Macaca fascicularis: one gene and its partner. Each later gene encodes a partner of the first gene's protein in a complex. Links are inferred from orthologs where the notes say so. Each region holds a gene or a part of one and is shown on either strand. Other genes may lie near its edges. The genes, in order: RAB1B and TBC1D20.

Evidence for each region.
Region 2: the proteins of RAB1B (region 1) and TBC1D20 are in contact, whole or in part, in a crystal structure (PDB 4HLQ), measured with the Homo sapiens proteins. The link is inferred for Macaca fascicularis from reciprocal best matches to the Homo sapiens genes RAB1B and TBC1D20. Residues at the interface, in NP_112243.1 of Homo sapiens: Ser17, Gly18, Ser36, Tyr37, Ile38, Ser39, Thr40, Ile41, Gly42, Val43, Asp44, Phe45, Gln60, Trp62, Ala65, Gly66, Gln67, Arg69, Phe70, Thr72, Ile73, Tyr77, Glu94; in NP_653229.1 of Homo sapiens: Gln97, Gln98, Leu101, Asp102, Arg104, Arg105, Leu107, Arg108, His141, Tyr142, Tyr143, Gln144, Gly145, His147, Asp148, Phe177, Met178, Asp179, Pro180, Thr181, Met182, Lys186, Val212, Ile215, Leu218, Ser219, Thr223, His227, Met272, Ala273.

Annotation. Positions count from the first base shown.
Region 1 is NC_088388.1:8,121,446-8,125,810, reverse strand, and holds the start of RAB1B (ras-related protein Rab-1B), read left to right. Parts: upstream 1-1,262; 5' UTR 1,263-1,320; coding exon of another isoform or gene 1,321-1,334; 5' UTR 1,335-2,027; coding exon 2,028-2,110; intron 2,111-4,365. UniProt on the Homo sapiens protein: The small GTPases Rab are key regulators of intracellular membrane trafficking, from the formation of transport vesicles to their fusion with membranes.
Region 2 is NC_088384.1:86,973,790-86,977,772, reverse strand, and holds the end of TBC1D20 (TBC1 domain family member 20), read right to left. Parts: intron 3,633-3,983; coding exon 3,445-3,632; intron 3,178-3,444; coding exon 2,922-3,177; 3' UTR 523-2,921; downstream 1-522. UniProt on the Homo sapiens protein: GTPase-activating protein (GAP) specific for Rab1 and Rab2 small GTPase families for which it can accelerate the intrinsic GTP hydrolysis rate by more than five orders of magnitude. Also shows GAP activity for RAB18 GTPase.

The DNA of each region.
Region 1 (4,365 bases):
GTTATTGGCCGCGCCCCACCCTTCAGTCCACGGTACTACCCGGGCCTCCCCTCGTCCCTCCTCTAGTGGTACCGCCCAGGCCTTAATCACCCCCATTCCGTGCGGTGGTATCTCCCAGGCTCCACATTCTCGGGAGTGGCGCCTCCTAAGTGGCTCCCGGGACCTTCTCGCGCTCCTCCTGGCCTCTGAGGGATGCGTCCTACCCCGCCATCGCCCCGTGCCCCAGGACGGGGACCTCCCCTTAGTCAGTCCTCCCACCGCCGGGCCCTGCCCCGCATCCCGGCCTTATGCACTGCCCCTCCCGCCCGGCCCCGCCCAGGCACGGCCCGACCCCGCCCCGGGCACCGCCCACCGAGCCATCCTGCCACGCCTCTCCCCACGCCTGCAGCTTCTCGCGAGGGGCGGCGACGGTCCCTTGGTGGCAGGAGGGGCTCCCCCTGTTGCGGGTGAGGCGGCTGCTCTCTATTTTCAGATGTTGCTGTAGAAATAAAGACGGTTTGAATCTGAGCCGGGCTTGTTTTGAGGCGGAGGTCGGGGTCCCCCCGCGTCTCTAAACGGGTGGAGCCGGGAAGGGTCGCGCGTGAGTGGGGGACAGTGTGTCTCGCTCAACTGCTGTCCGCGCAGCTGGGCCCAGATATTCTGGCCCACCCCGGAACTGGGTGGGGGCCCCACAAGTCAGGCTTTCCCTAAAACGTTCACTTGTGGGGTTCTGGAGACCGCGGGCTCTTACGAGCTCTGCTCTTCACAAAGTTTTTGACTTTGAGTGAGTTTCCCGAGACTCAGTTTTTTCATCTATGAAATGCGGGTGATGACACGCGGCTGCGAGTTAGGAGTGCCCAGTACACGAGGAACCCTGGACAAGTGAACTTTTACTAGTCTTGCTAGATCCCACATTCTCATTTAATGTTCACAACGTGGGTATTGGGAGGGTAAGGATGACTCCGTCAGACAGATGTGAAACGTGCCAAGCCCAGCTCTAAACTGAGCTTTTTAAACACCGAGACGCCGTCAGGCTTTCCAGCATCGTGCTCAAGCCTAGGTGCGTCCGGCGTGCAAACTACAAGCCCCAGAAGGCAATGCGCCAGTAGTGATGGGAGTGGGCGCGGAGGCACGGGCTCCCCGACTACGCCTGCGCAGCGGGGCTGAGTTGGAGAACGTCTCAGACTACAAGTTCCGAGAACCAGCGCGGCGAGGCCTGAGAAGAGGACGTTTGCGCCTGCGCGTCGCGGGCGGGGCCTCTGGGGCGGAGCGGCCACCATCTTGGAACGGGAGGCGGAGCAGAGCCGACTGGGAGCGACCGAGCGGGCCGCCGCCGCCGCCATGAACCCCGAATAGTGAGTGAGCCCCGCCCGCGCCGTCCAGCGCAGCCTCGATCCCGAATACGGGGCTGTACGCTTACCGGGGTTGTCTGGCCCGGGTCAGGACTGTGCGGCGCCCCCACATCCGGGTCCCTCTTCCGCTGACCCCCCCCCCCTCACATCCGGGTTCTGCCCCTCCCCCCAGGGGCCCCAGGACCCCGGCTCAACACCCCGAGCTCTCACACCCGGGGCCCAGACGTGGCGACCCCGAGGGGCAGCTCTTGGAGCCCGAGACACCGGCCCTACCAGGCCTTATCGGTCAGATGACCCCGCAGTCCCGGTCACTTCAGGCCTCAGTTTCCCCACCTGCTGCTTGACAACTGTCCTGGAGTTTGGGAGCCCGTCTTTAGATAGTTTCTGGTCTCGGGTTCAGGCTCGGGCCCTTTAGGTCGGGCAGTGAATCCCTCTACCCTTCTCTTTCTCCTGAAGCCCGGCTCCTGGGGCCGGCCCAGAAACTGGCCAACTAAGCGGGAGGCCCCGAAGCGCCGCTTGAGTCCCATCTCCCGCAGGTCCTCTCTTCCGGGGCTGCCTCCTACCCTTTGCCTGGGTTACGCTGACCTGTCGCTCCCGACGGTCCGTCCTTTCCCGCCCTCTCCTCGCTTTTGCTCAGGCCCCCAACGCCACCGTCGCACCCCTTCCCTTGGCTGTCACACTGCTTGTGAAGTTTAGATGAATATGGAATTTGCTCTCCCCCTTCCAGCGGGATTCTCTGGTCCTCAAACTCTCCTCACTCTTGGTCACTCCCTCTGCGGGTAGGTGGCCCACATCTCATGCCCAGGACTAATAGTTTTCCCCAAGTATCAGTTATCTTCTTCCTCTTCTGCCACTTCCTTTTTCTCCTCCACATCCAGGTCTCAGATTTCCTTGGGGAAGGGTGAAGCTCTGAGCTGGATTGGGAGGGGAACAGAGAAGGGAACCAGCAGGCTCTCGCAGGGACTTTGGAGTCTGACAAACCTGGTTTGAGTCTTAAAGCGAAAAACTGTGTAAGTTAGGGCAAGTCACTTCCCTTCTCTGGCCTCTGGTTTCCTCATTAGTTGACAATGATAAAACTGACTTCATTGGACTGTTGCGAAGATTAAATGAGATGATGCATTTGAAGTACTTCACACAGGGAACTCAACTGTGTGACTTCACACAGTCACAAGTTGGAACTCAATATTATTAAATGTGATTACCTTTTACCTTTTTTTTTTTTTTTTTTTTGAGACAGGGTCTCTCTCTGTCACCCAGGCTGGAGTACAGTGGCACGATCATGGCTCACTGCAGTCTCCAACTCTTGGGCTCAAGCATTCCTCCTGCCTTGTCCTCCTGAGTAGCTGGGAATACAGAGGTACATCACCACATCTGGCACATTTTTAAATTTTTTGTAAAGACAGGGTCTCCATCTGTTTCCCAGCCTGGTCTGAAATTCTTGGGCTCAAATGATCCTTGTGCCTCGGGCTCCCAAAATGTTGGGATTACAGGTGTCAGCCACTGCACCCAGCCTTAAGTGCAATTTTCATTGCAACTTGACCACCTCTTCCTGGTGACTTCATAACAGGTTTTTTGTTGTTGTTTCCAAAGAGATGGGGTGGACTGGGCGCGGTGGCTTACGCCTGTAATCCCAGCACTTTGGGAGGCTGAGGCGGGTGGATAACGAGGTCAGAAGATCGAGACCATCCTGGCCAACATGATGAAACCCCATCTCTACTAAAAATACAAAAATTAGCCAAGTGTCATGGCACGTGCCTGTAATCCCAGCTACTCTGGAGGCTGAGGCGGGAGAATCACTTGAACCCGGGAGTTGGAGGTTGCAGTGAGCCGAGATCGTGCCACTGCACTCCAGCCTGGTGACAGAGTGAGACTCCATTTCAAAAAAAAGAGAGATGGCTGGGCGCGGTGGCTCAAGCCTGTAATCCCAGCACTTTGGGAGGCCGAGGCGGGCGGATCACGAGGTCAGGAGATCGAGACCATCCTGGCTAACACGGTGAAACCCCGTCTCTACTAAAAATACAAAAAACTAGCCGGGCGCGGTGGCGGGCGCCTGTAGTCCCAGCTACTCGGGAGGCTGAGGCAGGAGAATGGCGTAAACCCGGGAGGCGGAGCTTGCAGTGAGCTGAGATCCGGCCACTGCACTCCAGCCTGGGTGACAGAGCAAGACTCCGTCTCAAAAAAAAAAAAAAAAAAAAAAAAAGAGAGACAGGGTCGTGCTACATCACCCAGGCTGGTCATGTACTCCTGGGCTCCAGGGATCCTCCTCCTGCTTCACCCTCCCCAGTAGCTGGGACCACAGGCACACCCCACAGCACCTGGCCATCTGTCTCTTTACATGGGTTTTTCACTTAACAAGTTCTAGACTGTGCCCTGGGTTCTACTTCTGGGGCCTCCCCTGCCAAGCCAGGCATACCACAGGTCATGTACTGGGGATTCCCTAAATAGCCCCTACTGTACCAAACCATGAAGTCTCAGAAATCAGGGTAGGATACCCAGCTCTGTCGCCTTGGCAGGTCACGTCCCTCTCTGTGTCTTGATTTCTTTCTCCATAAAGTGAGAATTTAGACTCAGCAAGCTGAGAGCCCTTTGGGCTAGCTTTTTCTGGAGGGGGGCATCAGCCCTCCCTGACCGGGACTGGTGGGAAGATCTGGTGAGCACCATAGTATTCTAAACCAAAGGATGACCAGGCTCACCCCTGTAATCCCAGCACTTTTAGAGGCCAAGGCAGGTGAATCGATTGAACTCAGGAGTTTGAGACCAGCCTGGGCAACATAGTGAGACCCCGTCTCTACAAAACATAAAAAGAGTAGCCAGGGGCTGGATGTGGTGGCTCACACGTGTAATCCCAGCACTTTGGGAGGCCGAGGCAGGTGGATCACCTGAGGTCAGGAGTTTGAGACGAGCCTGGCCAACATGGTGAAACCCTGTCTCTACTAAAAATACAAAACTTAGCCAGGCATGGTGGCAGGTGCCTGTAATCCCAGCTACTCGGGAGGCCGAGACAGGAGAATTGCTTGAACCTGGCAGGCGGAGG
Region 2 (3,983 bases), on another chromosome or scaffold:
GAAACTGGACAAAAAGCATAAGGTCTAAACCCAGCAAGTCCTGTCGGTCTAGATGCTTCCTGATCTCTCTGTGCAGTGTTCCTCCTTCCCGGGTATGGGGCAGGACCCTCTCTGGAATGAGGGTCTTATGAGCTACAGTCAGATTAGAGTCTGGCATTGAGCAAGTGAAATGAGGGCATAAGGTCACAGACAGAGATTCCATTTTTGAGGCCTGCAGTGCCCCAACAAAGGGCTATGGAAGTGATGAACCAGAACTGTGGACAAAAACATCTACACACACACACACACATAAAATATCACGGTGCCCTGGGCAGCAGCTGGAGCATGTGGGTCATACTTCTTGCAGATGAAATAGAAACAGCAGGACTGTAGATATTGCCCAAGGTCTCCTAGCCAGTCAAGGCCGACCACGATCCACAGGCCACGGCATAGTTCTGGGCCTGACATGGAAGGTGGGGAGCATCCAGATCAGAGACCATTCCCACTGAGTGGTGGGCAAGGACAGAATGACAGAAGAGGTGATTAGTAACCACATATGGCTATTTATTTGATACAGGGCTCTGTACAAAATATTTACACATATTCTTTACAGAATAAGTAAACCACCTGAAGGTAATTAGATAATGCTTTCTTCTCAATGACAGGGAGAATCCTGGTGTCAGCAAAGTTACAAAACAGATAAACATGATCCTTCGGAGGCCACAACTCAAGCAAATGCCACTTGCTTCCTAGGATCTGAAAAGCTGTGGCCTTGGGACCCTGGTCACATGAACCTCTTTTCCTCAACCCCATCAATTCCTTCAGTATTTACAAACAGGTTTGAGTGCTTGTGGAAGGAGGGGCAGCTGCTGCCGCCCACTGAAATGATGACAAGAGGGCCAGCTTGCTGTGGGAGAGCACTGGGAATATATGCTGCATCATCACCTCTGGAAGAATTTCCTTTGCCCTGATAAATACACCACTTTCTAAATTAATCCATCTACATTAGGCTTACCCCAAGGTGGGGCTCCTGCCATGGACAATGATCCATCACTTTGAGCTTTTTTTGGTTTTAAAGTGCGTAGTGGCTGGGCGTGGTGGCTCACACCTGTAATCCCAGCACTTTGGGAGAACGAGACGGGCATATCACTTGAGGTCAGGAGTTTGAGACCAGCCTGGCCAATGTGGTGAAACCCCATCTCTACTAAAAATACAAAAATTAGCCAGGCATGGTAGCAGATGCCTGTAGTCCCAGCTACTCAGGAAGCTGAGGCAGGGAGAACTGCTTGAACCTGGGAGATGGAGGGTGCAGTAAGCCGAGATTGCACCACTGCACTCCAGCCTGGGCAACAGAGACTCCATCTCAGAAAAAAGAAAATAATAATAAAATAAATAAAAATAAAGTGCTTAGTGTAACTCAGTGGACAGGGCTCCCAGCTGCTCTGGCTCGCCAGCTGCCTGGCATGTGGGACACCCTCCACCCTGCACACAACAGGCATGCAAGGAGGGCATGGAGGTCTGGATATGGTGGGGTGGAGTGCTTCTGGTGTGTTCACTTTAAGAAAACACCTGCCAAGAGAGATCAGTGCCCAGGAAAGACCAGGAAAATACAAGTACATGGCTGCTTCATACCATATACCCCAATTATTTAAAGCAGCAAAAGGCACTTTTTTTTTTTTCAGGCCAGAGTTAATCTAAAACAAACCTGGCTTTGCTTAGAGGGAAGCTGTCCCGGAAGGACTGAGTGATGCCTCTTGTTCCCTAAGGCCTGGAGAGTCTTTGGAGAAGCTTGGGCAGGGAATTTGGCTGTTCCAGGCTCCTGCCAAGCTCTTCAGGCTCCATTTGTTCCTTTCTGGGTGCCAGCAAGTTTCCAATGACATTTCCAACCAGGTGGGAGAGACCAGTTGACGAGACAAATCAGACCCAAAAAACGACGCTAAGGTAGTGAATGGGCGCCTATGTGGGAGTAGTATGATTTGAGGAAAACAGGAAGAAAAACTGGTCAGAAAGTGGCACTTTGGAAGTGGAAAGCTGTTTGCAAATAGCAACTCTGTCTAAAGTGAAATGTTAATCAAGTAGAAAATAAAATTCAGGATCTTAGAAGCTCATCCTTCTGATGAGAACTATTTTTTTTTTCTGTGAAGGAACTATTATTACTTTAAAAGTGAGGGTAATTTACATATGGGGTGTATATATTCTAAAAATAGTAACAAAAGTACTTTTTATAAGCAATGTTTTGTGGCTTGTAGAAGAAAACAGGGAGGAAAAAAAAAAAAAAGGCAGGCAAAACTAGTCTAGGTCTAGGCCCTAAAAATGAGCATTCCTTCCCACTTGACTGGAAATGCCCATGCAATCTCTAGGCGGAAAATAAGTAGGATTTAACAAGTTAACCTAGTTCCCTTCTGTCTCTGATTTCGGAGCTGCTAGTAAGAGGGGCCGATCATGCTCCCAGACGAGTCCTCTGGCCTCTTGTTCTCAATCTCAAGCCTGACTCCTTCAGCAGCAGCCCCTCCTCCTGTGTTCATTGGATGCGGGCAGACCAGGAGCAGTGAAGAGGGCATCCCGTGCTCCAGCTCACTTTCTACGGGGTAACTAGGAGGTTCCCGGTAACTAGGGCAGCCCAGGCCCAGCAGGTTGCAAAGGCAGCTGGAAGCTTCAGAAACCCACTTCCTCCACCACCACAGGAGGTGGCAGAGAGCCCATCCAGAAGCCCACTGGGAGGGGCATAAGATTCTGTGCCAGGCCCCCAAGTGCCCTCTGTGTCAGGTAGGCTCTCCTATTGGCCTCTGAAGTAAAGGCAAACACCAACAGGCAGGGCAGGGTGGCAGGAATAGAAAACTCTAGACAGAAACCCTTTTAATAAAGGAAATTCCACCCCGCCCAATCCTTCCATGGAAGGGTGAGACCTTAATGTGATGTAAGAGGAAGGTCTTCTCTGGCTTTCAGGGAAACAGCTGCAGCTGAAACTTAGGGGCCCACTCCAGGGCACTTTTCACCACAGCCAGTGCGGCCGCTCCAAGTGCCACCGTCAGCCCCATCACTGCCAATTTCACAAAGCGGTTGGTCCTTGGTTTGGTCAGGACATCTTTTGTTCGATCTTCAGGCCGCAGAAGTCCCCGAAACCGCTGCCGCAGCACCATATCAGGCCTCTGCTGGGCTGATGCCAGCTCAAAGTCTTTGAAGGTAGAGGCTGCCGTCCTGCAGGGGAAAGAGACAGAAGGAAGGAAGTGGTATGAAAGAAGAGGAGAAAAGAAAAACTACACCACATAGGCGGCGGGCAGAGCCTTTCATTGCTGGGAAAGCTCTTCTTGATAAAGACCCATATGTCTACAGTGGGGATTCCACTGGCCTAAGCTCAATCTCTGAAAACATGCCCCAATCCTGTCCCACCAGACACAAACCTTCCCTCACTTAGCTGCTCATTTACAGCCACCCCCACTCAACCAGCATCCCAGCCTTGCTCACCTCTCGGCTTGCTGTTGGGCGGCGGCCTCCCGAGCAAGTTCGGATGGGGGAAACTGAACAAAAAGGTCCCCTGCTCTGCTGATCAGTGTCTCATAGGGCAAGTCCTGAGGGATCTGGGACAACAGGTGGTGAACCGAGGCCATGTCACAGTCACAGTCCAGGACTTCCTGCTCGCGATACAACACAATCTGTGGGGAGGTAGTAAAGCCTTGCGGTCAGAGGCCAGACACACGGGCCTGGGCTGCCTGCATTCCATTATCCTTGGAGATGAATTTAAACTGGTTACAGACAGGACTCAGCCCAAATGTTCAGCAAACTCTTGTATCCATCAAGGAAGTAATAACATGTATACTCTCAGCGCTACTCCTACTGTCTGGCCCTTCCTGCGAACTCCCACCACGTGACATGAAAGGCTGACCAGTTACAATCTGAGTCCTTCAGGTACACTGGGCTGCTCAGGTGTCCCTTTAAATCTTGAAAGAAATGAAGGAGATTCTTTTAGAAGAAAGGAGAAGAATACTGGGAGATTCCTGGAGCTC